4 linked regions of the Pelodiscus sinensis genome follow. The protein of the gene in region 3 interacts with the protein of the main gene of each other region in a pairwise test. Links are inferred from orthologs where the notes say so. Each region holds a gene or a part of one and is shown on either strand. Other genes may lie near its edges.

The links.
Region 1: the proteins of CEP63 (region 3) and SPTBN1 interact in a two-hybrid assay, tested with the Homo sapiens proteins (2 studies listed by BioGRID and IntAct). The link is inferred for Pelodiscus sinensis from reciprocal best matches to the Homo sapiens genes CEP63 and SPTBN1.
Region 2: the proteins of CEP63 (region 3) and EZH2 interact in binary tests that used the Homo sapiens proteins (3 or more experiments, as listed by UniProt). The two-hybrid records come from large-scale screens. The link is inferred for Pelodiscus sinensis from reciprocal best matches to the Homo sapiens genes CEP63 and EZH2.
Region 4: the proteins of CEP63 (region 3) and CCNI interact in a two-hybrid assay, tested with the Homo sapiens proteins (2 studies listed by BioGRID and IntAct). The link is inferred for Pelodiscus sinensis from reciprocal best matches to the Homo sapiens genes CEP63 and CCNI.

What each region holds. Positions count from the first base shown.
Region 1 is NC_134713.1:175,365,019-175,373,005, forward strand, and holds the start of SPTBN1 (spectrin beta chain, non-erythrocytic 1), read left to right. Parts: upstream 1-4,981; 5' UTR 4,982-5,130; intron 5,131-5,319; exon of another isoform or gene 5,320-5,343; intron 5,344-5,654; exon of another isoform or gene 5,655-5,792; intron 5,793-6,246; exon of another isoform or gene 6,247-6,270; intron 6,271-7,987. UniProt on the Homo sapiens protein: Fodrin, which seems to be involved in secretion, interacts with calmodulin in a calcium-dependent manner and is thus candidate for the calcium-dependent movement of the cytoskeleton at the membrane.
Region 2 is NC_134712.1:160,849,562-160,857,181, reverse strand, and holds the start of EZH2 (histone-lysine N-methyltransferase EZH2), read right to left. Parts: upstream 3,004-7,620; 5' UTR 2,467-3,003; intron 859-2,466; 5' UTR 831-858; coding exon 793-830; intron 1-792. UniProt on the Homo sapiens protein: Polycomb group (PcG) protein. Catalytic subunit of the PRC2/EED-EZH2 complex, which methylates 'Lys-9' (H3K9me) and 'Lys-27' (H3K27me) of histone H3, leading to transcriptional repression of the affected target gene.
Region 3 is NC_134720.1:1,059,304-1,066,903, forward strand, and holds the start of CEP63 (centrosomal protein of 63 kDa), read left to right. Parts: upstream 1-4,599; 5' UTR 4,600-4,880; intron 4,881-7,600. Other genes in the region: ANAPC13 (anaphase-promoting complex subunit 13), read right to left, coding at 698-823, 3,215-3,313. UniProt on the Homo sapiens protein: Required for normal spindle assembly.
Region 4 is NC_134715.1:8,573,121-8,580,725, reverse strand, and holds the start of CCNI (cyclin-I), read left to right. Parts: upstream 1-4,590; 5' UTR 4,591-4,850; intron 4,851-7,605.

The sequences.
Region 1 (7,987 bases), on a different chromosome or scaffold from region 3:
CATCATTCTCCAGCACTTTCTCACATAGTGCATGCACAGTGAATGTTTGCTCCACCCATATTTGAACTATGTGTGTTGAAATAAAATCTTGAAATATACTGGACGCTCTTACCCACTCTCTTTCATAGATTACACACTTGTTCTTTTGCACTGCCTATTTGCTTGGGAGCTATTCATAGTGGGCTATTAAAATTTAAATATTTTACCCTTTAAACCAAGGATGGACAATAATTTTTTATGGGGGTGGGCACTTTTGGAAAGTGGTCAAGGGCTACACTCTTCCATTATATTAATGGAGGCGGTGCGGGGTGTGGGATGCAGGTTGGATGCAGCAGGGAACTTGGGGTAAGGGACCGGGATGCAGGAGGAGGTGGGGGTTCTGGGAGGGAGTTTGGGTTAAGCAGGTGGTTGTGATTTAGGGCAGGTGATTGGGGTGCAGGGGTTTGAGTTGTTACCTTGGGCAGGGGATTGGGATGCAGTGTCTGGGAGGGGGCATGAGTTCAGGAGGGGGATGGAGGGTTTGGCTTATATAGGGTAGGGGGGTAGGAGTGAGGGGAAAGAGGGTTGGGGAAAGGGAGAGATTAGGGTGCCAGAGGCAATCTCTGGCTGGCAGGCCACTAAAAGTGAAAATCACAGACTCTTACACACAGATTTTACATGTTTATCATTATAACCTATACATTGCATATAAAATGGGCCGTAACCTAAGGAACTGTTGCCCTGAGCCTCAAAGATATTTAGGCTTTCAAAATTCATTTAAATAAATGGAAGTTAGGAGTGTAAATACTTTTGAAGATCTATATCAGTATAGTAGAGGAACAGTGGTCAAGCTGGTAATATGATACTTAGGCTATGTCTACACTGCAAGGTTTTTGTGCAAAAACGGGCAGAGCATCCATATATCAAGTATGTTTTTGTGCAAAAAAACCCAACAAAACAGTAAATCGACAGGATGGAGGGCTTTTATTATTCTTCTCCCCATGAGGAATAACTCCTTTTTGCGCTACAGCTCTTGTGCAAAAAGGCATGTGTGGACGCTCCGCAGGGGTTTTTTGCACAAAAAGAGCCTATCAGAAAAAGAGCCCGATGGTCACTCTGTTAATGGCAGTCAGAGCTTTCTTGCACAAGAGCATCCATGCACCGTGAACGCTCTCTTGCGCAAAAGCTGTATAAGCATTAGTGAATGCCTTTTATTTTACTTTCCAGTGTCAGCAAATATTGTATTAGTCATGCTCTCCTTAAGAACGTAAGAAAGGCCATACTGGGTCAAACCAAAGGTCCATCCAGATCAGTACCCTGTCTGCCGACAGTGGCCAATGCCAGGTGTCCCAGAGGGAGTGAATCGAACAGGTAATGATCAAGCGATCTCTCTCCTGCCATCCATCTCCACCATCTGACAAACAGAGACACCATTCCTTACCCATACTGGCTAATAGCCATTAATGGACTTAACCTCCATGAATGTATCTAGTTCTCTTTTAAACCCTGTTATAGTCCTCGCCTTCACAGCCTCCTCTGGCAAGGAGTTCTACAGGTTGACTACGCGCTGTGTGAAGAAGAACTTTCGCTTATTAGTTTAAAACCTGCTACCCATTAATTTCATTTGGTGTCCTCTAGTTCTTCTAATATGGAAACTAATAAATAACTTTTCTTTATTCATCTTTTCCACGCCACACATGATTTTATATACCTCAATCATATCCCCCTAATCTCTTCTTTTCTAAACTGAAAAGTCCCAGTCGCTTTAGCCTCTCTTCATATAGAACCTGTTCCAAACCCCTAATCATTTTAGTTGCCCTTTTCTGAACCCTTTCCAAGGCCAAAATATCTTTTCGAGGTGAGGAGGCCACATCTGTACACAGTATTCAAGATGTGGGCATACCATAGTTTTATACAGGGGGAGTAAGGGTATGTCTACACTACCCCGCTAGTTCGAACTAGCGTGGGTAATGTAGTCATCCGCAGTTGTAAATGAAGCCCGGGATTTGAATTTCCCGGGCTTCATTTGCATGAAGCCGGCCGGCGCCATTTTTAAATGCTGGCTAGTTCGGACCCCGTGGTGTACAGCTAGTTCGGATTAGAAGCCTAATCCGAACTAGCTAGTCCGTGTAGCCACGCGGCACGGGGTCCGAACTAGCCGGCATTTAAAAATGGCGCCGGCCGGCTTCATGCAAATGAAGCCCGGGAAATTCAAATCCCGGGCTTCATTTGCAACTGCGGATGACTACATTACCCCCGCTAGTTCGAACTAGCAGGGTAGTGTAGACATACCCTAAGATATTCTGTGTCTTATTTTCTATCCCTTTCTTAATAATTCCTAACATCCTATTTGCCTTTTTGACCGCTGCTGCACACTGTGTGGAAGTTTTCAGAGAACTATCAACGATAACTCCAAGATCTCTTTCCTGATTTGTCGTAGCCAAATTAGCCGCCATCATACTGTATGTATAGGGGTTATTTTTTCCAACGTGCATTACTTTACACTTATCCACTTTAAATTTCATTTGCCATTTTGTTGCCCACTCAGTTTGGTGAGATCTTTTTGAAGTTCTTCACAGTCTGTTCCTGTCTTGACTATCTTGAACAGTTTAGTATCATCTGCAAACTTTTACTTTTCTCTTCTGTAGAATTTTCACATTGAGTCAAATTCTGTCAACCTTACTCAGGTTGACTAGAATTTTACTTCGCAGGTATTCCTATTGATTTCAGTGTGATTAGAAGGGGGGTGCAGTTTTATTTGGCATGCAGAAAGGTGACAAAACTTGGCACCTAAATTGTACAATTTATTTTACTTTATTTCCTTTCATGATATATATAAACTTCTAAAATGCTCTTTGTTCCATGTGACCTATTTTTTGTTAGAATCTGACTTCCAGCCTTTCATGATTTGCTCATGATCAGACACAAGGTGACTTCTTTCAAAACACAAAATTCTATTCAATGAGAAAAAAAGAATGCTTAGCTGTAGCTGTTGTGACTAGGAATAGCAAGAGACGAATTCCTGCTTCTTTCATCCATTCATGATGAAAAAGAAGTTGAAGTGAAATCTTCATTTGTTCATCATCTGATATTCCACTCTGTGTCAAAAATTTCTGTTCTGTCCTTATTTCATAGCAGCCCCATGGCTGGTAGTGCCTCACTCCACTCAACTGTTGATGTTGTCATAATGATCAGGCAGATTGTGAGCTAAAATTTCTGCTTTTTATGAAAAAAAAAGGATCATTTTATTGGTAACTCATATTTCTCTTTGCCTATTTTATGTCTGTTGTTTCTTGTCCCACACTTGGCTTGTTAAATCTCTGGGACAGGAATGGTCTTCTGAATATGTGTTTATACAGTTCATATCATAACAAGGCTTTCACCCCTGACTGGGGCCCTGACATACCAGTGTTGCTGCAAATAAAAAATACTTAGATTTTATACAAAGTATTGTACTCTAGTTGTTATAAATTATGCCCAGGTCACCACAGTTCCTTCCCCCCATTGTTTGAGGGGTGGGACCCAGAGCTCCTGCTCTGCACAGGTGATCAGGTATTTTTCTCCACTCCAGTTCCACACCTAAGAAGCTCAGCTCTCCAGCTGGGTCTGGATAGCCCACTCTTCTGGGGTTGGAACAGAACAAAAGAAGAATTAATACAAGTGAATATTCCCCAAACAGGGTAAAGGCTATCTTCCTTCTGGGGCTGTTCAGCAGGCTGCAGCCCTAAGCAGAGTTCCCAACTAAATAGAGGGGACTGATCTCTTCCTGCATGCCAGGGAGAGTCAGCCTCAGGTTATTTTCCTTCCTTCCAGAAGGGGCCAGTGGGCAGTGGCCATTCTAGGATCTCCTGCCTTTAAGTGATCTCCTCTCCCGGCACTGGAGACTGAAAGTCAACACTCTCTCCATATGTGCCAGAGCCAAGTGCCTTTTAAGCTCTTTACTCTGTTTTTTGCATCTCTCCCAGCTGTGATGGGGCAGGACCAGCTGAGTCTCTCTGGCTTGCTAACTCTGTGTTGCCCAGAGTAGGGTGCACATCACACAGCTTTTGAGGGGGAAAATGTCCAGTTTATCCCAAACGGAGGAGCCTTGTGGTTTATGACAAAGGTAATTTCTGTTGGGGTCAGACTACTAAACTCCTTCTCAGTGGGGAAAGTAACTTACAATTACTGTCCTTTTGCAATGGGGGTGGCTGACAGCTCTTTAGATAGCTCCACTGCTGGCTTTTGCCACAGCTCAGCCAGCTGTGGCTGGAGCTGTGCACCAGGGTGCACCTGCTTACTTTCACCTCTGCTCCTTCCACTTGTGGGAGAGTTGGTGAGCCTTAACCACACATCTCCCCAGGCACAAGCTATTGCACAGAGCTGCTGGGCCCTAGTCCCTCTGCTGACCACTCGTCTATAGAAAAGCAAATACCCACAGGCTGCTCCTCTGCAGGCAGTTAAGGCAGTTCTCCGCCGCCATCCCAGCAGCCACACAAAGCTGGTGAGGATGCCTACTCACCACCCAAGAGGGAGATGCGCAAAACTGCGGCCCTCCTATCCGTGCCTAGGGCCCACACAGTAAACCCTCGATGCCAAAGCATCTCTCTGAAACCCAGTGTTGCAATGGCGCTGATTACATTACCGTTCAGTGCCGGGTGACCTCCGCCCCTGCTAGGGATGCCAATGCACAGACTGTATCCCGGAGCAGCAGCAGCCCCACGCCTGCCCCTCCGCCTCCATGTCAGGCAGGTTGCAAAACGCGCGTGTGCCCGGGTCTGCTCGCATCGCGGCCCAGGAGGAGCGGGAGGCCAGCGCCCAGCCGGCACTGGGGTGCGTGTCGCTCCGCCCGCCCGCCGGGGCTCAAGCAGGGCGAGGGGCTTGCTTGGGTGCGGGGGGGGGGAGGACACGAGGGAGGAGGGCGCTTGCGTCCCCCTCCCTCTGCCGCCCGGGCGCGGGGCGGGGGTGCGCGCGCTCTCCCCGCCCCCTGGCTGCCGGCTCGGCGCAGCTGTCGCGGTGCAGGCGGGCTGGCTGCGGATTGCTCCAGTCCCCTCCCTTTCACTCCAGCCACTGCCCGGAGCTGCCAGCCCCGGCCACGGCTGCGGCATCTCCCCCTCAGCGCTGCGGAGCCTTGCGCGCGCCGGCACGGGAGCGGCACCCCGGCCCCGCGAGGTAGGGGGGTCTCGGTGCATGCGGACAGCAGGGCACAGGCTCGCTCCCCTCTCCGCCAGAGGAGGCGTCCTGCCCCTCCCCAGGGGCTGCAGGGGGCATGGCAAAGGCAGGGGGCTGACACCTCCCCACGGCAGGGGCGCAAGGAGGGGACCGCGCCCGGGCAGGGTGTGGGGGATTGCGGAGAAAGGGGGAGACGGCCTCGGATGCACCAGGGTGAGGCTCCCTTTGCAGGAGGGGGGGGGGGGCAGCGAGCAGGGCTGCCAGGGAGATGGCGGTGTGGGTGCGGGCGGCGCGCCCCCAGCGCGGGCACAGCCTCCATCATTGTGTTGCAGCGGGATTATTGTGCCTGCTCCCGGGCACTGCTGCCGCTGCCGGGTTTGTGCGTGGGCACGGGGAGGAACGGTCCAGCCGTGAATGGGGGTATCGACGTGGGGGGGGGGGGGCGAATGACAGCAGGAAGCTTAATCCCCCCCCCTTCCCTTCGCTCCCCACCCCACCCCGAGCCTGGGAGCCTGCCATAGGTGGCTGCCTGTAGCGGTACACGGGATGCAAACAGGCGCGGCCGGGAGCCTCTCCCCCGCCCTTCTGTCGTTCTGGGCTGGGCGTTCAGCAGGCGTCCGGGCAGTTCCCCTCGCCCCTTTCCTCATCCAGGACCGCAACAGGTTTGTGCTGTAGGGCGGGGTGCGGATCTGCCAGGGTCCCCGCTGTCCGGTTAGCGGGAGGGGGCTGGATCGCGGCAATCGTGCTTTTCCCGTCGTGCAAAACCCAAACCGGACCCAGTCCGTGTATCTGTCAGCATTGGTCTGTCGTGTTTGCCCGGGTGCAGTAGTTCTCTTGGGGAAGCGTGTGCCAGTCATTCGTGCCTGTGTTTTCGTTACTGGGATGGCTCTCCCTGCCCTTATGCCCGAGGAGAAATGATGCAGCACAATGCAGTGATCTAGCAACCTTTAGTCGGGGTTTTCCGGCTATATTTTGTATGATTCCCTTGTCAAAACCCCACCCAACAGGAAATCGGGATTGTGTTTTTTTTCCGCTCGGAGACAAACGCAATCACGGCCCAACCATTCTACCCGCTTGCCTTTTATGTTGGTGGTTTGTGACTCCGATCCGTGTGTTGCAGCGGCGGTGCGGGTGGCAATTGTGCGTTCCGAGCGAGGTTTTATTTGTTTTTGTTTTTTGCTTGCTCTTGGTTTCTGTAATGAAGGGGGAGTTATGCGATTGCAGTTCTGCAGCTCTAATGCGGTCTGATGGAGTCCAGCCTGCGGCTGTAGAACATTAATCTGATACTACAAAAGTAGCAGCATTAGGGAGGGGTTAGAGGAAGAATGTTATTGTAAATGAGAGGAAACGGTGCGTATTTATATTGTAGCAGATAGGCACCTACTGTTCATGCACCCTTTAAACACAGACTGTATGTAAATCAGAGGGATATATTCAAAGTGGTTCTTATAAAGTGCCCTTTCATATTATGCGGGAATGCACATTAGACCACCTGGTATTTTTTTACCTTTTACTTGAAACGTATTCGTGTTATCATCACCATTAAATGTTTAAATTCTAATACTGTACTTTCCAAAAGTGGTGTAAAGATATTTTCTGCTCTTTGAAATGGATTGCACTTCAGTCTCCCTTTAAATGAAATCTACAGTCCTTGGTCTGGATTTTTTCCAATTTCATTAGTCTTCTTTCATATTATTACCAGGTGCTTTTTATATTTACAGAAGAAACATTTGTTTTATTTTTTATTGTTTTATTTGTTTTATTAAATTCCTGACTTTTTACATGATTAGCCATATAAAGTTACAACTAATTGGTTATAAGGCTTTGGATTAATTTTTTAAATAGGCTGACAGTTTTGTGGACCTGAAATGCAGATATTACTAAAGGGAACCCACAGCTGGAATGGCACAATACATGAACTTGAATCCATTGGGTCTTCCAGATCAACAGAGTAGTTTGATATCTACAGGCCTATTTTAACAAACAAACAAAAAAATCTGCAGGACTGCAGTGTCTCCGAAATATCCATCCATAGCAGTGGAAAGTGGCCTTTTAAAATTATTTTAAGTCACCTTGATTTTAAACATAGATTCTTTGATTTTGAAGCATATGAAACATTAATCTATTTCAAGACTTAACTTGAGTGCAAAAATGGAGTGAGCAATTGAATGTAGCATAAATTCCATTCTAGTCCTCTAGTTGTGGGGAAATTTGCATCCTTATATTAGGAAAAGTGGCAGGGGGAGTGGAAAAGAAAAGATATTTCTTTCTACATTATGTCTACACAGGATTCTGTGCTTTCACTGTGTGATTGTCCATAGACATAGATTTTGTATGATCAGTATCAAAACTAAAATTCTTGTAAATGGAAAATAAACTACTAAGATTTGAGATTTCTTCAAGCATTAAGTACAAGGGTTTGTTAATAGAGCTAGGTGACTAATTTTTTATTGTTTCTGGCCTGTGAGTGAAATCATGTTTTGCATTAAGACATCTTGGAGACACTATTCCCAATAGTCCTGAAGATGATCTAGGTAGCTGGTGTTTATTAAAGAAATATCATCAGTGTGGAAGTGCCACAGGAGATTTAGCCATTTTGACTTGTCATCCTGTGTGCAAAACTCCCAGCCAGAAAAAAACACTTGAACATACCATGAAGCATCTAGAGCAGTCATATATACCATTGTGAGCTGCATATGTAACTCTCTGTGTTATGGGGGCTGCATCCATACAATCTGTATATTACCTTTATGACCCTGAGGATGGCACACACATAGGTCACAGCTGTGAGCCCATTGGGCTGCAAGCAGCCTACAGACTGAGAATGCTACTATAGAGAGAAAGATACAAGTTTATG
Region 2 (7,620 bases), on a different chromosome or scaffold from region 3:
AAGGGCCTTTAAATCCCATATATATGCTGATTATATGTAATGATTACTATATTTCAGTCCTCTGTTTCTTATTGAAGAGAACTATTTTCTATTGTCAACATTGCTAACTAAATTCCACTTGAAGTCTTCAGTAGTTCCAATGAGAAGCAGAAAAGAAAACAACTTAACCTTCAAATTCCCAGCTTCAATTTACAGGACTAAGTTAAAGATATATATAAAAATAACAGCTCATTTGATTTGCCTGTCAGTGACAAAGAGTTCCACAAAGTCACTTTTTGAAGCAGTTATCTTTTAATATCCCTGTGACAAACCCAAATCCTGCAGATTGCGGTCAACCTAAACTAGTGACTATTGAATATGGCATAGTTTTAAGACAAAATAATTGTTGACACCTCATGGGAAGCTTTAAAAAAATGTTTATGTAGACACTTCCACCACTGCCTTTCAATAACTAGGTACATTTTCATGAAAACAAGAGGTGTCTCCTAAGAATTTGTCTCATCGTTTAAAGATAACCCTTTATTTAATGTCTCAAACATCTTCAAAACAGCTAAGCAACAGAGGATTGTCTCTTTAGGTGAGTGAATAAAAAGTACATAGAATTAAAAAGTTAACATATTCTCTAATATCCTATTCACATGCAAGATTCCACACTAAAATAATAAAGAAAACAAAACCAAATAAGAGTGCTATATTGCAGGATTGCTCATGAGGTATCAACAGGTCTTGAATATTCACATTTTAAGAGACCAAATTGAAAGTACTTACAGTACAGTGCTTACAAGTACTCACCCTTCACAACATGCTTTCTGGTTACCACAAATAAACATTCCAGGGGCTCCCAATTTGATATGGACACTTAGAATAAACAGAAAGAGTGGCCTTTTAATTAACTCTTACAAATTGCATTCAGACTCTAGAGCATTACTCTCTAAAACTAGATAACGAAATCCCAGGTTAGAAATTCAATAGAATCCCCAATACATACTTCTGATCCCTTTACATTTGTATCCTGGTGTAAACCTATACAACTCCATTCAGTGGAATAGCACAAAAGGTGAATTTTGCAAACACAAATCTAAAAATGAAGTCTTTCAAGGTCTTCATTTCTGAGAGGGAAAAGAAAAGAAATCTGAACTCCCAACTTTCTAATGCTGTATGGTTTCCACTCCAGAACAATGTGGATAGTATTTCAGAACTAGAAAAGAAGCTACTTGAACAAAATCCAAATTAATTTACATAAACACACCTACAAGCTTCTTTTCTTCTTCTCACTCCCAATAACTTCTGAATCACCTGCAGGCAACTATTAAACATTGAACACTACAATAATACCAGATTACACATCAGTCTTACTGCATCATATTTACCAGCCACTCGTTGACTCTTACAGTGTGAATAAATAGGCAGCTTCCTCCAACACCACCCCCTTACACCTACCAAAAATGACTCAATAAAAAACATATTTTTTGAAGTGTGCTCATGTTCAATACACTTTGTTCTAGAATCACAGTCTTCAGCCTATCTGAACTTGGGAAAAGCCAGGCAATGCTGTGGAAGACAGGGACCCAGTACTGAACTTTAGAAATTCGGAAGTTCACTCGAGTTGCTTTCAGGTACGTTTGTCAGTAACACGCCCCCACTGCCTTTGCATTTAACACCTTTGCTGCTACACCCAAGATTTGCGTATACATAGAGAAGGGGAATGTAAGGGGAGACTCAAAACAGCAACTCGTATGAAACAGCAAAAGGAGGAACAACCCAGAGACAGCTCAACAGCCCCCGCACGGAACATCAGCTTCCGGGAGACTATGTAAGAACACATGAGACTGAAGCAGACCTGCCCAAGTGCCTAAACGTCTCCCCGCAGCAAGGAGCCCCCCGCCCCGCGTGGGGAGCGTAATTTCAATTTTTCCCGCCTCCTTCTCGGGGAACGAAGGGTTTTGCTGCGCGTTTCAATCAGGCGTTTTAAAACCTCGTTTGCCTTGTAACCGGGGGAAGGGAGGGAGGGGGGGAGGGGGTTCCCCACAGTCAAACTGCTCCTGCACCCGCCACTAGTCTGAAGTCAATCAATGGGGAGTGAGGGGACTGGGTTTAAGGAAGAGACAAGCTGCGCTCCTCCTCGCGCCCGCCCTCGTTAGGGGTCCCAAGCCCTCGGCTCTAGTCCCGTCTTTGTCTCAGTCGGGTCGGTCCAGGGGAGGGGATCCCCTCCGCCGGGGTGGGCAGAGCCAACTTAGACAAAGGGCGCTTCACGCTCCGTGTCTCTCTCCAGCTGTCACCGGCCGGCAGCGCGCGCCCCGCCACCGCCCGCTCCCCCGCGCGCCCCACCGCCCTCTCCCGCTGGGGGGGGGGAGTTTCCTCGCGGCTGCCCCCCCCCATTCAATCCCCCAATAATCCCCCCGCCACCTCCCCCCGGACAAAGGGCGCAGGTTAGAAATAGCCGTTCCCGCGCGCTCGCTCGCTCACCCCCGCTCCCCAACGCCCGCCGGTGCTGCTGCCGCTGCCGCCGCCGCCTCCGGGTCCCCGCTTCGCTCTGCCGCCGGATTCACCCTCCCGGACCGAGCGCCAAACCCGGCGGCCCAATCGGCATCACGCTCATTGGAGAGAACCAAGCACCGCCCCGATTGGACGGACGTGGAGGGGCCGCCTGAGCCAATCCGCCTCGGCCAGAGGCGGTGCCGGGGGCGGAGCGTTCGCGCCCCACGTGTGGGGGGGAGGAAAGAAGAAGGGGGTGGAAGGGCGCTCTTTGTTCTCGCGCTGGCTGGGGACCTGGCGAGTTCCGTGCTCCCCTCGCGCGCCCCTCAGCCCCCCCCCCCCCTGGGGCGCCCGTAGCGGCGCGCGCGGGCAATGGGGGGAGCCTTGAAGTCCCCGTCGGCTGCGGGCGGCGAAGTCTTTGGGGGTTGGTGGAAGAGGAAGCGCCCGCGGAGCCCGGGAAGGGAGGGGCCAGGCTGTTGGGCGCTGCTGAGTTTGAATCAGTTCGAAAGTGGGAGCGGTAACGGTTTTAACTGTCATGCGGCTCCAGCGCGCGCGGGCAGCTCTGGGCGGAGACTAAGGTTCAGCCGGCTCCACTCAATATCCCTCCCCTTTGCCTGTTGCTTCCCGCGGGCGGGCGGGCTGGCAAGCGGTCCGGACCTTGACCCGCTCCGCCCTGCCTCGTTCCCAGCCCCGCCCCCAGCCTTAGCTTCGCCGAACGAGTTCCCAAACCGGCTCTGCTAAACCGGTTGTAGCGCCGCCCGGGACCTGCCACCTTCCCCACGCAGCTTGCGTCAGTAACTGCATCGCTGCCCTGACTCCCGGGGCACGGAAATTGCCAGGCGGATCAGAAACGTGCCCGGCGTGGAGGGGCCCTTCTCCCTCCCCACCATGCGTGCTCTGTGCTTCGCCTCCGCCATACAGAGAACTGCCCCCTCTCTGGCTTCAGGGTCCGTCCACATCCCTTTCCTCTGCTGCGGGCTAGGCGTGTGGAACCGCAGCCCTAACACAGCCCACCCACTCCTCTCGTACAACCACGGAAATCAGAGCACCAGCAAGATGTGCTCTGTCTCACCGGTCAATCGTGTCTTTTAGGTCTATCTCCTTCATGCTATTGCCGACCCATAGTCAAGTTGCTATTGTCCCTACCAGATTTTTAATCTGGCCGTCTGATTTAATTTGCCATCTCTATAGTCTCACATCTAGGCTGTGAGAATCTAGAGAGGGCAGGTTAAGGCTGATGACCAGATTATTGATCACCAGTTTATTGATGACCAAATTATTTAAATCTAGCTGATTTTTTTTTTCTGCATCATATCTGCAAGATAAGACCTTTAGTTTCAATCCATCCTGACATGCTCTTTGGAGAAGGGTCTGGTCCATGATTATCATAAACTCTATGATAATTTTAAAAAAGTCTAGGTTCCCATCAACTTCTGTCTCAATTACTGCAACATCTTGTCTCTGGCTTTGACAAATACAATCTTGCCCCATTACTGAGTGAAGATTATTTTCCTAAATAGGCACTTTGCCACTGCCAGCCCTGCCTTTTTTTGTGTCCCTCTACTATAATCCAGTGGTGGGCATATGTGTGGCCTATGGGGTAAGCCACTAGCAGGCTGCCAAAAAGGCTGGTTAACCTTGCACCCCCAGATATTACCATCCAGAGCTCTCATTGGCTACAGCTCCTCTTTTGTCATTGCAACAAACTTAAGCTTCTTGATTTCATTTTGTAGGCCTTTCATAACTAAGATGAACAGATGTCCCATTTTCAAAGAGACAGTCCTCTAAAAGCCCCCTTGAAGGTGTTCCTACTTTTTCTTTAAAATTGGCAAATTGTCCCATATTTTCAGTTTCTCCCCTCCCATCAGTACTAGTTGGTCTTACTGCTGATCAGATACTTGCTCGTCAGCTGCCCATCTGCCAACAATGAGTAGTTTTTTAAACTTTTTGAGCTGAGCCCCCCACCTCATTGAGTTATAAGTTTGGGCTCCCCCATTATTTGCAAAAAACAAACAAACCCTAGAATGTTCAGGTACCTCGTCATTTTCCTTTAAAGAAGGACATTAATAAACTGGACAAGGTTCAGAGGAGAGATGAGAATGATTAACGGATCAGAAAACATGACTTAAAATGATTGCTATCCTTGAATCTATCTGTGTAGTTTAACAAAGAGAAGAGTAAGGGGTGACTTGGTTACAATCTATAAATAGCTACACAGGGAACAACAAATATTTGATAATGGGCTATTCAAATGAGTAGAGAATGGTATAACATGATCCAAGGGCTGGACGTTAAAGCTAGACAAATTCATACTAGAAATTTTTAACAGTGAAGGTAATTAACCATTAGAACAATTTACCAAGGCTCTTGGTAGATTCTGTATCACTGGCAATTTTAAAACCAAGATTGAATGTTTCTCTAAAAGATGGTAAGTATGCTCCAGGAATTATTTTGGGAAAGTTCTATGGCCTGGACACCTGCGGCCTTGCAATCTGTGAAACTAGAAATCCTTTTTTAACACCCTCCTTTAAGATATAATAAATAGAATTAGGTAGTTGGTATGCTGATATCACAGCCAGTCATATTAACCAGCACTGTCTCATTGTTTTCTTGTGTTCCATTGTTTGTTTATCTCAGTGGTCACCAACTTGGAGATCGGGATCTACCTGTAGATCTTGGAGCCTCTGACATGTGACCCTGACTGGTTTGGCCAAGAGGCTATCAAGTGCTGGCACTTCAGCTGCTCCTCCCCTCACTGCTGCTCATCTCCTGCCCTTTGCCTTAGAGCTGCCTCTCCCCCTGGGGAGCCTCCTGCTTTCTGTGCAGAGAAGGGGTGCAGATGTCAAGCTACCCCCTGCCAATCTGTATCCTTTCTCCACAAAGCAGAGAGGGGGCACAACAGGACTTGGAATGCAGTTTGTTGGCTGCTTTAGGGAGTAGGCCAGGGCAAGGGTGAGCCTGCTTTAGCCCCACTGCACCATGAACCAGGAGCCACCTGAGGTAAGCAGTGCTCAGCTGGAGCCCACATCCCGAAACCCTATCCCAGTCATGAATCTCCTACACCCCAAGCTCCTGCCCCAGCCCCGAGCACTCCTGCATCCAAACATCCTCTGAGAGTGAGGTGTCATTTTCTAGGATAGGCTGTAGACTGTTGATGCTGTGTTGGAAGGGTTTAAGTTGAGGACTGTAGGTGATAAGTGGAATGCTGTTGTTTTCTCTTCTGGGCCTGTCTTGAAGTAGTTCATGTCTGGGTACTTTTTTGGCTCTGTTGATCTGTTTTTTTCACTTCACCAGTTGGGTATGTCAGTTTTAAGAATGCTGTATATAGATCCTCTAGGTGTTTGTCTCTGTCTGTGGGATTGGAGGGCTTGGCTGTATACGGTTGTATCGGAGGGCTTGGCTGTATACAATACATGGATGAGTAGAGGCATGAAGGTAAGTGTAGCGGTCAGTAGGTTTCCGATATAGGGTGGTGGAAATTTGTCCATCATTTAATAGTACTGTTGTGTCAAGGAACTGCATTTCTTGTGTGGACTGATCCAGGCTAAGGTTGATAGTGGGATGGAAGCTGTTGAAATCTCTGTGAAATTCTTCAAGGGTTTCTTTCCCATGGGTCCATATGATGAAGATGTTATCAATGTAGCATAAGTAGAGTAAGGGTCTTGGGGGGGCAAGAGCAAAGGAAATGTTCAAGGTCAGCCATAAAGACATTGGCATATTGTGGTGCCATCGGGTGCCCATGTTTGTACCTCTGACTTGAAGATACAAATTGTCTCCAAACTGGAAGTAGTTGTGGGTGAGGACAAAATTGCAGAGCTCTGTAACCAGGTGTGCAATGTTGCAATCAGGGAATATAGCCTATAATCCATCTTCATGTGGAATGTTGGTGTAAAGAGCTTCTATGTCCATGGTGGCCAGGATGGTATTTTCAGGTAGATGACTGATGTTTTGTAGTTTCCTCAGGAAGTCAGTGGTGTCTCAAAGATAGCTAGGAAGTGCTGGTAGCACAGGGTCTGTTGTAAGTGTACCAATGCTTAAGATGATGGGTCGTCTGGGATTTCCAGGCTTGTGTATCTTGGGTAGCAGATAGAAGACTCTTGGTCAGGGATTGGGGGGGTTGTTAGTATAAATTTGGTCATAAGGGAGTCTCATGAGCAGCTGTTTCAGGTTTTTTTGGAATTCTTTAGTGAGACACAGGAGAGAGGCTTGTAGAATTTGGTGCTGATGAGTTGTCTGGTCACCTCCTGTTCAGTTCATGATGACTACAGGGCCCCCTTTGTCAGCCTCTTTGATTATGATGTTAGAATTATTTTTGAGGTTGTGTATAGCATTGCTTTCTGCATGGCTGTGGTTATATGTTGTTTGCTGACAATGTCAGCTCAAGCACGTTTGCGAAAGCAGTCAGTGTAGAAATCAAGATTATCGTTGTGACCATTAGTAAGGGTCCACATAGAAGCCTTCCTCAATCCACTAAGAAACTTGTTACATGCAGACTCTTTCCCTAACAGTTGTTTTCTTATCTCAGGTAAAATGTGCAAGCCAGAATTGATCTTTACTCTGGCCTAGGACTACAGCAGGGCTACTCAACACATGGCCTGCATGCGGCCCATAGTCTGTTTGTTTGCAGCCTGTGGTGTGGTTTGGGTTTATGTGGGGCTCAACATGTGGCCCACAGGTGGGATCCTTTGAACACAGCCTCCACTGGGAACACTCTCCACAATGGCGAGGTGCCTTCCAAGTGGGGTGAGCATTGAAAGAAGCAAACAGACAGGCTGGCTGGAACAGATGGGTACAAGGTTTCGGTGTTTCTAGCCCCCAAGGAGGAGGTGCCGGGAGCACTAGGGCATTGTGGGAAGTGCTTTGTATTCATGCCCATTAGTCTGATAGAAGCTATTTGCACGTTTGCATATATATTTGCATGTATATGCAACCACACTTAAATTGCGGCTCTCGGCATGTGCTGTGAGTATCATTGTGGCTCCTGGGCTTCCAAAGTTGAGTATCCCTGGTCTACAGCTTCTTAGAGTTCTTGAGAATTCTTTGTTTTCAGATTTCTTCATGTGTGTCCCCTCTCGTGGATGAGGCAGTTTCAAAGGCCAGCCAAAGACCAATAGCTTTCCTTTCCTTAAATAGACTTTCCCCAAG
Region 3 (7,600 bases):
ATTGTGTTCTTTTACAGTATGCAGGTTAGCAAACATACCACAGGATGTCAGCATTGGGAATGTGCTCCAACCAGAATCGGCAATCTCCTAGGCTGCTTTCTTTATAAAGAATTTCTTTTCCCATCGTCATTTGTGTCTACAGACAAATTTCAATTCCTTAATCTCCTGTTCATTAACCTTTTTCTCTGTCCTTCCTGTGTCAGGCTAGTTAAAGGCTGTAAAAGTTGGTTGGTAGTTGCTTTCTAACTCTAACAGTAGCTCCCAAATATAAAAGAATAGCTTTCGGTCTATAAAACATCAAAGCCACCACAAAAATTCACCAAATCACTTCTGAGATCAATGATCAGTTTTCAGGTAGTGATAACTACCTCTCTGATCATACACAAAAAGCAATTAAGATTAAACGAACTGGCACCAACTTATAAAGAAGTTGTCAACAGGACTCCAGAATTTTTTGCATTTGTGAAAAAGCACTCGGCCACCTCCTCTCAGTTTTAGGGTATGTCATAGTTATTTTACATCAGTCACATGGGGCCTTTTAAACTGTAATGTGCTTTTGTGGAATACAACAGCTGTTTGAGACCAGAAGGTTTTTTAAAAGTTTTGACTCGTTAAAGCAGTGAGACAGGAGATGGTGAGGATCTGCTGGAAACCGTCTTCTTGCATTGAAATCATTCCATGAAATAACACTGATTTACTAGTTTCCTGTTGGGGGAACATTCTCATGAAGATATTGCAAAGCCAAGTCTGTCCATTTCATTTCTTGTTCTTTTACGGACTCTGTTGTACCACCATTGTCTTGTTCTGGTTCAGGAAGTTCGTTCTGAGAACACAAAAGGGGCAATGCATTCTATACCTTCAAAGCACCCTGACAAGATCAGCTTAGCATCATTTCATACTGGTACATGCACACATCTGCAACTAAGGCTGAAGGGAGCATCAGAAGAGCATGTACTGTACATACTGCTTCCACTAAAAATATCAACAAATCCAAATATGGGCATTCCATTTCCACAAGAATTCTGTACTTCGTTTTAGGAGTTGATTTCCTAACTTGACGGCTGGCTGACCCAAGCGTACACAGCAAAATAAATGATTGTAATGTCTGGTAAACATAGAATAAGTAGATATCAACGCAAATAGTTTATTGCCTGTGTGCAACCTTTTTCTCCCATAATAAAGTCCAAATATGTAAGTATTCTATGTCCGAATTTTAAATAAGGCATTCTCTCAAATCTCTCTTTTCTGTCATACAGAAGGTAACAAAGAGCAAAATAAGCAGCACTCTGTCTGGAATTTGAGGTCAATGGCTCTAAAGAGGCGAGGCTGTGCTAGTGCCATACAGAACACTGGAAAGCACTCCCGAGGTGCTTTTGCCTTAGGAACAGAAAACTGATGAGTCTACAGCTTGTCAGGATGAGCAATAGCGTAACTGTTTTGTTTTTCTCTTAACCATCTTTCTCTGCGAGTGCTATCATAACTGTGCAGTTGCTAGACTATGCGTAATTCCCCAGAATATCATCTCGTTCCTGGGTCTTGGCATCCTAGCGAGAGACAAAAGAGCTCCCCAAACTCTAGGAATTTGTTCACGGAGGATCTGATCTAAAGCTTGCTGAAGCCAATGGGAGTTTTTTCATTGTTTTCAATGGGCTTCAGCTCAGACTCTGAAGGCAGTAGCAGCAGTTAGGGCTCAAGCTACTGGTGGTCACCTACTGCCCATTGCTCTAAGCACCACCCACTTTTTAGTCAGCTCCTTCTTGACTTGGGAATGAAGGAATATCCCAAAGCTGCCATTCTGGTTTTTAGCTTGCCAACAGCCAATCCTATGTCAATGGCTCAGGTCTCATGGGGTCTTTAGGTCCACACTCAGGCCTTTTCTACTGTTAGTATGAGCATCTGCAGGGCAAGCCCAGGAAACCTCAGAAGTATGCTGTAAGGAACTCTTCCTCCACTCTGGGCATGCGCCTCAGTCTCCAAGAGTAGTTACATAGTTCCTCCCTCCACCCACTACCCAAAAAGGAGTGACGCTATCTAGTTAATTGACCATAAGATGAAACAAGTACCAGCACTGAAGAGGTTTCTGTATTCAGCCAGCTTAACGAGGCACATCCCAATAAACTCCAACAGGTAGGAGAGTTTGGGCTTCCAGAACTTAAAAAGAGAACCACAGTTCCGCACGGTGGAGATCGGATCATTCCCTAACGCTGGAGTACACCTGCAGAGGCTAAGTGAAGATAGTGAGTTGCTATGCATATGTCTGTGATAGGAGACTAATTCCCTTCAAGTAATCTTCTCACAAACTTTGTCTAATGTAAGAATAAAGAGAGGCTTGAAGGTTTTGAGTATGCAAACGTGGGAGGGAAGAAATCTAGCAGGATGAGTGGCCTACAATTTGGAAGTCCATCACTACTCTAAGAAGGGATCTTTGCAAAAGGTGATGCAGGTACAAAAGCCTGAAGTACATACACTCCGTGAGCAAAAATCATGGCTGGCTGAGAAGTGTCTCAACATGAAAGGCAGCCTGTCAAAATAGAGTGGACGAGGAAGGGCTTTATCCAGTTAATTAAGGAGAAAATCTCAAGATTTATCAGGCTTAAATGAGACGTTTCCGTTAATAACAAGGCTGTATCTATGCCTAGAGACAAGGGGCTGTGAAGATCCGGGTGTGCTATCAAGTAATCTGTGACAGATCAAAGATAGTTGCTAAGTGGACCTAGGAGTTTTCCCTTCTTCACTCTTGGCTAGCAGTACTGGAAGTATATAAGTGAAGGGGAAGTCTTTGGGTCCTCCCCTCTCCACTCGGGCCAGCAGCATAGCACTTGAAAAAGCTGAGGAAGAGGTTAGTCCTGGAACCCGCTCCTCACAGACTGGTGGTACTAGGAGTATGAGGGGAGGATAGAAAGAAACATTCCACCCTCCAAAGAAACAGGTAGCTCGCCTAGATTATGGGAAAGCATTTTCTCCTTCCAAAGCGAGGCAGTCAGCTGCAGGGAGAGAAGCACTTATTCCTCCACCAAGCCGGAGATATGCAGAGCTGGAAGAAATCCACCACCCCGCATAAAATAAATGGGAAGCTGGCCCCTGGAGTGAGGGAGCATCATTCATACAACTGTCAGAACTGTAAGGCACATTTCCTATGCCATGCCTCTGTTAGGAGGTTAAAGGGGGTAGACACATAATATAGGCTTATAAGCAGCTTACTGTGTTCACCTACCAAAGGTATTGCTACATCCTCGTATGGTAATTTATCTTCTCTCCATGCATCATCGATCAAATCCAGGATTCTTCCATCCCTCTGCACTTCACTGTCCATCTTTGCACAATTTACATGCAGATAGATCTGCGACATAAAGCAGAAATTATCCTTGATATCTAGAACCCAAAAAGATGGAGCTTAGATTCTATGCTTGCCCTGGCCATGACTCCTTTCTTAAATAGCTTAATGGCTGTTTTACAGTCAGTAGGGCATGGCACAGTTGTTTTTCATAGTTATTAATACCCTCCATTGTTTGTATTGCCCTATGAGACGCATGAACATGTTTCTTTTCCTACCAATTCAGTTTTTGTCCATGCAACAAACTAGCACATGTACGTGGCTTTGCTCAGGTTCCTAAGGTGTTCAGGGCAGGGAACTGGGAAAGTGGGGTGGGTAAGAGTCAGAGTGGGAGGGTAGGGAGGGGATCTGGCCAGGGGACTGTGGTGTGTGTGTGTGTGTAGCGGGGTAAGCAAAGAGGCTGAAGCTCCTTGAGTTTTGTACCAGGGTCACTTGCTCTTCCTCTTCTTGTCCCTGCCAGAGAACGAGAGCAAAGTGCACAGCTCGTCTGCCCCGTCCTCCCCAGCCAGAGGGAGGAATGCAGCACACTGTGCACTTTCCCCGTGCTCCCCAAAGGGAGCCAGCAATGTCCTCGTATTAATCTGGGGGAAGATGCGCCTCCCCTTGCCCTCCCTAACAGGTGTCTGCGGGGTAGGGCTGGGACCTGCCTGGTGATTCTCTCTCTTCTCAGTACGGTGGTATGAGAGTCAATCCCATTCCAGGCGCATCCCATTGTCCTGCACAACCCGCCCCTGCCCTTGCTTTAAGCTGTGCTCAGTGGAAGCGGCGTCCTGGCTTCGCTGGCCCTCGCTCTCACGCTGTAGAAACAGACAGACTCTCTCAGACCTGTGGCCGATTGTTTCCCTGCCTGTTCAGAAAGGGGCTGACATCGCCTCCCACGGGTGACGGGCCACGGCCCGGCCCCACCGCAAACACCTGTTGTGTCCCCGGCGGTGTCGGCCCCACACAGGCGAAGGCCGGCTGTGCTCCTGCGCCCAGGGCACCCCCCGCAGTGACCCCTCAGAGCATCTCCAGCGCACCCCCCGCACCAGCGCTGCGCAGCTACCCGGTCGCCATGGAGACGCCCCGCCCAGGGGCGGGGCACCGCCCGCCAGGCTCCGCCCCGCCGGGCATGCGCAGTAGCAACCCGGCACAGCGTCCCCTCCCCCACCCGCCTCCGGGCCCGGGGAGCAGCCCCCCCGCGCGGGGCTGAGGGGCCCCAGCAGGGGGCCGGGGCGGGGGCAGCCCTTCCCCCCCCACCGCGCGGGCCGGCCCCTCCCGCCTCTGGGCCTAGCCCCGCACCTGACACCCGGCGCGCGCGCCAGCCCCGTCCCGCCCCGCGGCCCTAGCAGCGGACCACGTGACCGGCGACTCTAGGCCGCGCCAACCATAGAGAGGCGGCGGCGCGAGTCCGCCGAGGAGAGAGAGGCCGGCCCGGAGGTAACGGCTCGGCGGGGGCGTGTCCTGGGTCGGACTGTGCCCGCCGTGAGGCGCTCACCCTCACCCTGTCTGACTGTGCCTGGCGGACAAGGGGCTGTCGCCTGTGCGGCGCTGGCTGTCTGCTGAGGTGACTGGAGGCGGGGCTCTGACTGTTGTTGGCCTTGTCTGACTGTCCCTGGGTGGCTGTAGCTTTTTGTCCGGCTGTGAGCCCGTGGCTGTTCCTGTGGGGCTGGGTCAGACTGTACCCTGCTGTGAAGCTCTCGCCCTTTCTGTGTGGCGAGGTGACTGTAGCCGGGGGTTGGCCGCCGTGTCTGACTGTCCCTGGGTGACCAGGGGACTGTAGCCTTTTGTCTGTCTGTGAGCCCGTGGCTGTTCCTGTGGGGCTGGGTCAGACTGTACCCTGCTGTGAAGCTCTCACTCTTTCTGTGTGGCGAGGTGTCTGTAGCCGGGGGTTGGCCGCCGTGTCTGACTGTCCCTGGCAGACAAGGGGCTGTCGCCTGCTGCCCGCCTGTGCGGTGCTGTTTATAGAATCATAGAATACTAGGGCTGGAAGGGACCTCGAGAGTCATCGAGTCCAGTCCCCTGCCCTCATGGCAGGACCCAGTACTGTCTAGACCATCCCTGATATTATTGCTGTCTGTCTGTCTGTCTGCCTGGTGAGGTGACTGTAGATGGGGGTCTGACTGTGGCTGGCCTTGTCTGACTGTTCCTGGGTGACGAGGGGACTGTAGCCTTTTGTCCGTCTGTGAGCCCGTGACAGTTCCTGTGGGGCTGGGTCACACTGGGTCAATGTCTGACTTTACCTGGCTGTGAGTCTGTGTGATGAGGTGACTGTAGCCTGGAGTCTGGCTGTGGCTGTTCATGCAAGGCTCTGTGCCCCCACCCCACTGGGGCTGTATCTTCACTGCAGGGATGTGGGGAAGGCACATGTTTCAACACCTTAGGACTGGAATTTGCACCTTTATCACAAAACGTGTTGATGAGTAAGTCTATAAACTGTGCTTTGGGTGCCCTTGTCACCCTGGAACTGCAGGTATTTCTGTGGGCCCCAAATTATGAACAAAAACTGAATTGGTAGGAAAAGAATGTTGTGTTCAGACTATGGACAAACCCCCCAAGAACCTGGGAAGTTCCCTTACTGGTAGAGACACCTTTTCAGTCCATCTTCCATCTAGTCTGGTCTCTGACAGTGCCTGATACCAGATGCAAAACTCCATAGTGCACTAAGTTGTGCAACAGTAGCACTTAAGTCATTTTCAGCACTGGTTCAGGAAGGCTCAGTGCAGGCAGTGTTTCAGAGTAACAGTTCAATATCCCAGTAGTATCTGGGACTTTTAAAGACTTACTTTCTGCCTTGGGTTTGACTTAAAAGTTGAGCTTGGTTTTGTTAATTTTGGATACTAGGGGGCTGAGCTTGGTTTTGTTAATTTTGGATACTAGGGGGCTGAGCATTCTCAGTGGAGAGGCTGTGGGTTCCTCCATGCTTGGCCCAGTTAGCTGACTTTAGGGGTACGGATGTTAGATAGTGATTAATTGATTAGTCGTGTAACTGCATCAAATTTTAGTAGTTACACAACTATTTGATTGTCCCCGGGGGCAGGGTCAGCAGCCAGTGTGCTCCGGCCCCACTCACGGGGCGCCCTCCTGCTGCCCCACGCTGTTCCTTCTCTATCGGAGGCAGCAGCATGGGGTGGCAGGCGGGAGCTGGTCTGTGAGGGGAGCCGATTTAAAAATTGGCTCTCGATGCAGATCAGCTCCCACCTGTTGCCTTGCGCTGCTGCCTTTGATACAGCAGAGGTTTATCGATTAATCATGTATTCGGCTACATGTTGACATCCCTATTTCAGGGCACATTTCAGAACCTGCTTTAATAATTGCCATTGTAAGGTCCGATGTCTTGCACTTCAGGAGATCTAGAAATGAAGTCTATTTTATGGCCTTGGAAAGTTGGGAGACACCCTCCCTCTTTTCAGTGGTAAAACTTTCAAAGGAGGAATGCAGAAGTGCCTATCGAGTAGTTGATGGAAATTCCGTCGACTACTCAACTAGTAAATTAATCATTATTTAACATCCTTAGTGTACACGGACACATTCCATTATTCTGAATATCATCCTGTGTACTCAAGCCTAAAATTCACTTCAGCGATGCTTCTTGCACTTACAGTTGGGGTTATACTTAAGCATTTTATTGAATGCTTAATATCTGACGCTGCTTTAGCAGCTGTCGTCTTGTATTGTTAAAGCATTAATTTTTAGCTTTATGCCTTCTGCAAGCTTGGAAGTGCACTCTGTAGTTTTGTAAAATGTCTGCTACTAGAACCATATCAAGTGTCAGAAAAGAAAAAAACAAGCAATATGATACAGTGATGTAATTATAAGGTCCAGTAGCTCGTTACCTTTCAAAGCTAGAAACACCTGTGGCAGGTCAATACAAATGCTTTCAGCATCAATACACTTTTCTAAGCACAAATCCAGGACCACTTCAGGAGATGGGGGGTAGAGGAGGGAAAGATGCTTGAAGGCTCTTTTCTATCTGTCATTGAAAAACTAGGGCTGCGTCTAGACTGGCATGATTTTGCGGAAATACTTTTAACAGAAAAGTTTTTCTGATAAAAGTATTTCCGCAAAAGTGCGTCTAGATTGGCACGGATGCTTTTGCGCAAAAAGTGTTTTTGTGCAAAAGCATCCGTTGTCAGTCTAGACGCGATTTTGTGCAAGTAAGCCCCGATCGCCATTTTAGCCATCGGGGCTTTTTTGCGTAAAACAGTTCTTCCCTGTCTACACTGGCCGTCTTGCACAAGTATTTTTGCGCAAGAGGGCTTTTTCCCGAGCGGGAGCGTGAAAGTA
Region 4 (7,605 bases), on a different chromosome or scaffold from region 3:
AGATTGTTCCTATAACTAAATCATAGTCAAAAAGTCTCAGAGAGCTAGTTGTGTTAGTCTGTGCCTTTAAAAACAACGAATACTCCTGTGGCACCTTAGAAAATAACAAAAATATATATAGTATCATGGGCTTTCGTGGGCAAGACCAGCTCGTCTGAAGAAGTGGGTTTTGCCCACAGAAGCTCATGATACTATATATTTTTGTTAGTCTCTAAGGTGCCACAGGACTACTCATTTTTAAATCATCGTCAGACTTTTAGGCCACGTCTTCACTGCAGAGTTTTTGCGCAAAAACTTGTGGAGCGTCCACACTACACGTGCTTTTTTGTGCAAGAAAAAGTACAGTAGAGCATCAGAAGTCAGGGCTTTTTGCGCAAGAGTTATTCCTCTTTCTACGAGGAATAAGCCTTTTTGCGCAAGAGCTCTTGCACAAAAAGGCAAGTGTGGACGGACAAAAGAAACCCCTATTGGAAAAAGCACAGGTGCTCTGATAGCCACTCTGTGAATGGCCATCAGAGCTTTCTTGCGCAAGAGCGTCGATGGCAGTGTGGACGCTCGTGCGCAAAAGGCCATCTCTTGCACAAAAGCACATGGCAGTGTGGACGTGCTATTGAGCAAGAACTTTTTGTGGAAGATCTCTTCCGCAAAAAGTTCTTGCGCAAGAAGCCTGCAGTATAGACATAGCCCCCCTGTGTAGGTCTCGTTGAAAGAAATGTGGTGTCTTTCTGATGTTCCTAAGTGGGGAGGGGTTTAAAGATAAAAATCCTAAAGCTTAAGAGTGTGATACTTGATAGGAGGGGAATTATACTTAGAGACTGAGGGTAGTGGAGAGGAGGCTGTTGTCACACATTTCCTGAGTAGAAAAAGAGATCAGATTGGCTAAAGCAGGGGAGGTACTGCCGAGGGACTCCTTCCCCAGTGACTCCCTGCCATCTCTTCCGTTATGTTCCCCTGCCCTTATGCTCCAGTCCCATTGTTTCCACATATGTTGCTCTCTTTCCTCCCTTCTCCCATCTCCTAACCCATCTGCCACCTACTTCTCTCCCCACCTCCTGTCATCCCTGCTCTCTGCTGTTTTCTTCCTCTGCCTCCTCCAGCTGGCCACTGCAGAACATGCGCAGTGAGGCCTCCCCAGAATGGAGGAGGGGGAGGAAGGAAAGATGAGATTCATCATAACACAGAGAGCTGATCCTTCCGCCAAGCAGTGAAAGGAAAACCAAGTCCCTTTTAAACAACATATTTGTGAAAGATTGGAACAGAAAAAGCGCTCAGCGCTCGTAACTCACCCTCTGCACGGTGCACATTACATACACTGCTATATTCATAAAGTTAGTTAGGATTTAAATATTAAAATCAACCTTTTACTCATCCTCTTAACTGACAAGTAGTGTTTGTGAGGGACTGATACAGTATTTGTTTTTAAATGATCATGAACATTATTTTAAGGATATGTAAGAAGATTTCATGTTTAGGCTGACCGATTTATATAGACTGTAAATAGAATGTTCTGCATATCCATCAATATGTCACCACTATTTATCTCCTGTTTAAAAGCAGATAGCCCTGCTATGAGATGTTTTATTCCCTATACTCAAAAGTATATGTGTGTCCTTGCTAGACACCCATTGATGTGTCCCTGTTCCATGTATTCCTTATGTCCATAGATGAGTTTTAGGGAGACAAGGAGGGTGAGGTAATATTTTATTGGACCAAAAGAAACAAGCTGTCGATCTTACACAGAGCTCTTATTCAGGCCTGGGCAATGTGCTCAGTGTCACAGCTAAATACAAGGTGGAACAGACTGATTAGCATAAGTAGCTAACACATGGTTCAAGGGATCATTTAAGGTGAAGTGGCCCATTGCAGTCCCAACAACACTGCATACATCGGTAGGGTTAGCATGTACAAACTGACCTACATTTTTCAAAAGTCATTAGAGATTTTGGATGCCAACCAAAGACACCTTAAATGAGCCTGATTTTTAAGAGGGCATGCGCTTGTTACTTTCTGAAAATAAAGCCTCATTATTATTTTTTTTAATTTCAGTAGTACCCAGGCACCTTAATTACTATCACTCCATTGTACCAAATGCTAAATTGGGCACCCAAAACTAGTAATGTGTGGTGGTATAAAATATATACTATATGTATGGCATACATTTCCTTCCCTGTGATAGGCCTTTGGGCACATGCATAGGACATGTTCTGGCATTATAGGATGCCCAAAATATAAGAAACACATGAATCTTTTTATCTACATAAAGAACACACAACTCCACTATGTACAGCAGCCTACACTTCCAAAAGTGACTAATGATTTTGGATGCCCAAAGAGAGGCATCTTGGTGGCACCCGATTTCAAATCATGATGCCTGACAGGTGTCTCAAATTGGACACACAAAAGCACTAATACCTTTTGGAAAAAATAGCAGTACACAGTGTGGCTGCGTCTACACTCATGGCTTCTTGCACGAGAAATATGCAAATGAGGCTAGGCGTGGACTATCGCCAAGCCTCGTTTGCATACCTAATGAGCCGCCATTTTTGCAGAAGAGACTCTTGCGCCCGAGAGAGCTATCTACACTGCCCCTTCTTAGGCAAGAAAACCCCTCTTGCGCAATGCCGCTACGCCGATTATTTTCAGGAAGAATGGCATTGCGTAAGAGGGGTTTTCTTGCGCAAGAAGAGGCAGTGTAGACAGCTCATTCTGGCGCAAGAGCCTCTTCTGCAAAAATGGCGGCTCCTTAGGTATGCAAACGAGGCTCGGCGATATTCCACGCTTAGCCTCATTTGCATATTTCTCACGCAAGAAGCCGTGAGTGTAGACATAGCCTGTGTGTGTAGGTGAGTGGATACACTGTGTTAGGGTCACACTCATGCATTATATAGATGTCTGTAGAGCACATATGTGTACGCAGTGTAAGTAACGAATATATGCATGCATTATATAGATGACTCCTGGGCATGCATTTAATGTGTTTATATCAATGACAGTGGTTCTCAACCTGTAGGTTAATCAGCACCCAGCTGTGGCCCAGCTGACAGCCTCGAGGCCATACAAATGTAGTGTATATGTATATGTATGTGGCCAGGTCCATGGCCAGGTCCATCCAAAACATGCAGCCACGTGGGGCACTGTGAAATTTGGGGCACCAAAATTTCATAGTGCCCTAAGAGTTGTATATGGTGTCCAGTGGGCCCTGTCCCCATTCCCTGCTACCCTTCCTCCCACAGGCAGTGCTCAGCCACTACTCACCAAGTGGCGGCAAAGGGAGCAGGGGACAGCCATGTGGCTGGAGAGAAGTTGCAGTTTCACCTTCAGGGTACGTCTAAACTCACCGTCGACGGAGGCATGTAGATTAGACAGATCGGCAGAGGGAAATGAAGCCGCGATTAAAATAATCGCGGCTTCATTGAAATTTAAATGGCTGCCCCACTCTGCTGATCAGCTGTTTGTCGGCAGATCGGGGCAGTCTGGACGCGCCGCGTTGACAAAGAAGCCTTTCTTGATCGGCACAGGTAAACCTGGTTTCACGAGGCATACCTGTGCCGATCAAGAAAGGCTTCTTTGTCGACGTGGCGCATCCAGACTGCCCTGATCTGCCGACAAACAGCTGATCGGCAGAGCGGGGCAGCCATTTAAATTTAAATGAAGCCGCGATTATTTTAATCGCGGCTTCATTTCCCTCTGCCAATCTGTCTAATCTACATGCCTCCATCGACGGAGGCATGTAGTTTAGACGTACCCTTAGAGTGCTGCTTCTCTCCTGCCAGTGGTCTGGCCACTCTCCTCCTTCTCCTGAACCCTTCGGTCCACACTTGTGTTGCTCCCCACTGCCCACACCGGAAACACCGCCACCCATTGCAGCAAATGGTGTCTGATCCAGGAGAACTGGCAACCCTCTAGAAGACCCTTCACAGCTTCTGCCCCCGGAGCTCCACTGCAGAGGGGCTGGCTTCCCCCTGGAGCAGGATGGGTGCAGGTGTTGGGCTGTGACAGCCCCTGCAGGCCCCTGGGCAAGGTGTGTGTGTGGGGAACAGGCTGCACGCTCCTGGAAGGGGTGGGGTCTTGGGTGGAAAGGGTGGCATTGGGGGCACCCAGCCCTCCCAGTGGTTTAAAGTGCACCATGCCAGCCCCCAGGCAGCTCAGCACCCCCCCCCCCCCAGTCCATAGCAGACCAGTCGCCACCACTGCCCCAGTACAAGGGGTGACATGGTGCAAAGGGGCAGCTGTTCCCAGGACAACTGCCCCTTTTGCCCCCTGTGTGGGGGCTGGCAGGTAGGGCGCCAGGGCTGGCAGGGGCAACACACAACACACCCCGGGGTGCAGACGAGTGAGAAACTGAGGGTAGGGGCTGGGCACAGCCTGGCTGGGGGGGGGGGGGGTGCCCACAGGGAACCCTGCCTCGCGGGGGGGGGGGGAACACGTTCTGAGAGGAACGCGCGGGGGGGGGGGGGAGAACACGTTCTGAGAGGCACGCGCGGGGGGGGGGGGGAGAGAACACGTTCTGAGAGGCACGCGCGCGGGGGGGGGTTGTCCCGCGCGAGGGGCGGGGCCAGCTGCCGGCCCTTCTTTCCCGCCCTGCGGCCCGGGCCGCGGCTGGCTCGCTCGCGCCGTCCTCCCCTCCGCGCGCGCGCCTCTCCCCGCCCCTCCCGCAGCGCGTCTCAGCCCCGGGGGCGGCGGGAAGGCGGGCGCCCGCCATGGAGCCCTGAGTCCCGCGGGCAGCAGCCGCCGCCTGGAGCATGGCCCGGCACGGGCGCTAGCGGCCTCCCAGCAGCGCCCGGCGCCGCGCCGCCAGCATGGGGTGCTGATGGGCCGCAGCCCCGACCGGCAACCCCGCGGCAGGGGAGGTGAGTGGCTCGTCCCCACCGGGCCGGGCGCCTTTGTGCGGCTGCAGCGGGCAGCGGGCATGCTCGGGGGGGCGGGTTATGCAACGCCGCCGTGGACAGCGTGCAGCCGGGGATAGCCTGCGAGAGCCGGCCGTCCTCGTGCATGCGTCCCGGCGGGCGGGCGCTCCCCTGCGGCGCTGCAAGGGGCATGCTGGCGGCGTATGGAGGTATTTGTGCTTGCAAACAGCGCGGGCCTGTGTGGCTGTTGACATAGGGAATGCATGCAGCGGGTATGTGGCTGGGAGTAGCATGCATGCCGAGATCCTGGTCTGTTGCAGGATACAGTATCTAGTATTGTTTGGCGATGTAAATCCGCAGTACCCCTATGTCTGTGTGTAGTGTGTGTGTGTGTCTATTGTGTTTGTCTATTGTGTTTACTTCCGTGTTTACAGTATGCACTCACATCCATGTTACAGTTTGTGTAGGTCTTTTTTTTGCAATAATCCTATCTATATCTATATCTATATCTATATCTATATCTATATCTATATCTATATCTATATCTATATCTATATCTATATATCCATTGATTTGTATTGACTGTCAAATGCAATAAAGAAATTAACTGGGTGTATTTCAGTTTGCGTGCAAGTATGCATGCTTTTATCCTCTCTTCCGGTGTGTCACGTTTCTAAATAATCCCGTGTCTGACCAGTCCTGCAAGATATAGGCCAGTCCTGAAAGGTGCTTAGCATCCTCCTCTCCTGCGGGAAACTGAGGGCCCCTAATATGGACTCTTTATTTCTAGGTCCCCAATCTTGAAATAAACTCTGATTTGGAGTACTCTTGCACCTGTGTGGTGTTCCAGTGCAGCCATTAGGACTCCATGGAGGTTCAGGGGGCTACCTGGGCAGAATTCATTTTTGGCATTGGGGGCTTTGATGTTCTAAATCTTGTTCAAACTGGCATAATTCCACTTTATTTGTACCCACTTCTCAGTCCTGTAATTTTACTGCAGATAGGGTATCAAGTATTTCTTGTGCTTTAGCTCTTGTTTTTGTCCATATGATCAGTTGTCCCTAATTCTTTCTGTCTTAGATTGATTACTCTCTAGCAAAAATATGCTTTAAAATACAACTGTGCTATATTTTAAACTCCTGATCTGACTCTAAAATTGTGCAGTCAGGTTTCTTGGATGCTGTTGGTTTTTGTTTGGTGGTTCTTGGTTGGTACCATCAGTTGCAGTGATGGGGACCCCCCATGGAGAGTGTTTTCTTGAAAGATGACTGAATTACTCATGATGTTGTTTCTTGTAATCCTGTCCTAGAAGGGATGAGAGAAACAGATAATGTTGCCCTAGGTTATTTCATGCTAGTGGTTTAAAGAAGCCTTTGCAAAAATTCTCATGATAATTTGCTACCTTAGGCAAAAAATCCATTTCCCCACCTCTTACCCTAATGTTGGAAAACAAAATTAATGATGCTTTATTGCCTGTTTTAAAAAAAAAAATGATTAGTTGCCCTGGGCAGGCAGGATTAATATGGCTGACTTAAACAGTTGCTTTTCAGCTGCTGTGTAGCTCACAATGCCCCTTTCCCTGCATCTCTGACATAGGCACAGTGTTTTGAATTTTTTTAAAAACCCCTATGTATTTAAATTGCACAGAAATCTCTCCGGTTACGTGGTTCTAGTCTTCCCCCTCAAGCTTGGCTAATGTTTTTACTGTCATAGAGTGATGAGTCTGTAGGCTTTTGCAACCTTTAGATTAGTTTATTGCAGTGCTTTATTTACAATTACCTCAGGGATACTTGTATATGGCACTAGGTTTTGTAAGGTATAGCTAGTAGAAGTTTAGCTCTGGGAAAGCAACCACAATATCTTATTCCAGACTTGGGGAAATCTTCTTTGGATTGCTGCCAACAATTATATTTGCTTTTAAAATTGTTCATATGCTTTGAAAATGTGGTGCACAGTTCTGTGCCTTGTTCCGACCTGCTCTGTCTGGAAAAACTGTGGGTTTGAGCTCTGCAGAGCTAATCTGTTGGGAAAGCCAATAGGCGTTGAAACGTTTTGGTGTGTGCACTTTTAATTGCTCTGCACCTCAAATTTGGAATGTTCTCTTAGCTGGGGTTTGGAAGGCCTCATTAAAAGACTCTTCTTAATCTGTTCCTTGTATATTCTTATAGATTCTTGCTTTTTGTGTGTTTGGGATCTAATTTAAAACACCTTCTGAGACATTTGCATGAAATGTTTCTCTGCTAGTATAAATCTATTGGGTTGCTTAAATGCCCTTTCCAAAAATATATTGCACTGTAGCTATTTGAAGAAGTATAGATTGCTCTGCTGCAAGTTAGGGGCTGCTACTCTGTGTCTGTTCCAGCAACTGCTGGAGTACACGCTGGTGAAGGCCTTCAGGGTGGAAAGTCTGTGGGAAGGGAAATAACGCCACAAAACACCTAGGAGTTCCCTTATATTGGGGTGCTGCTTGTCTGGGATGGGGCCAGGCCAAGATGACTCCAGGATATGCACCTTGGGGGGTCTCACAGCAGCAGTTGCTGTTCATGGAGTTTGGGGTGGACATTACAGATTAAAGCAATATCTTATATCCACCTCCTAACAACTGGTAGGAACCATGAAAGAGGAGGGTTGTGGCAATCACACCCTCTCTCCTCTTTTGGGGTGAATCTCTGTGGAGCTTTGCTGGCAGCTAGAGGTTTAATATTGTATACTCTTTGGGCTAGCAAATAACTTTGTTCTGTGTTTGTAAAGTGCCCGG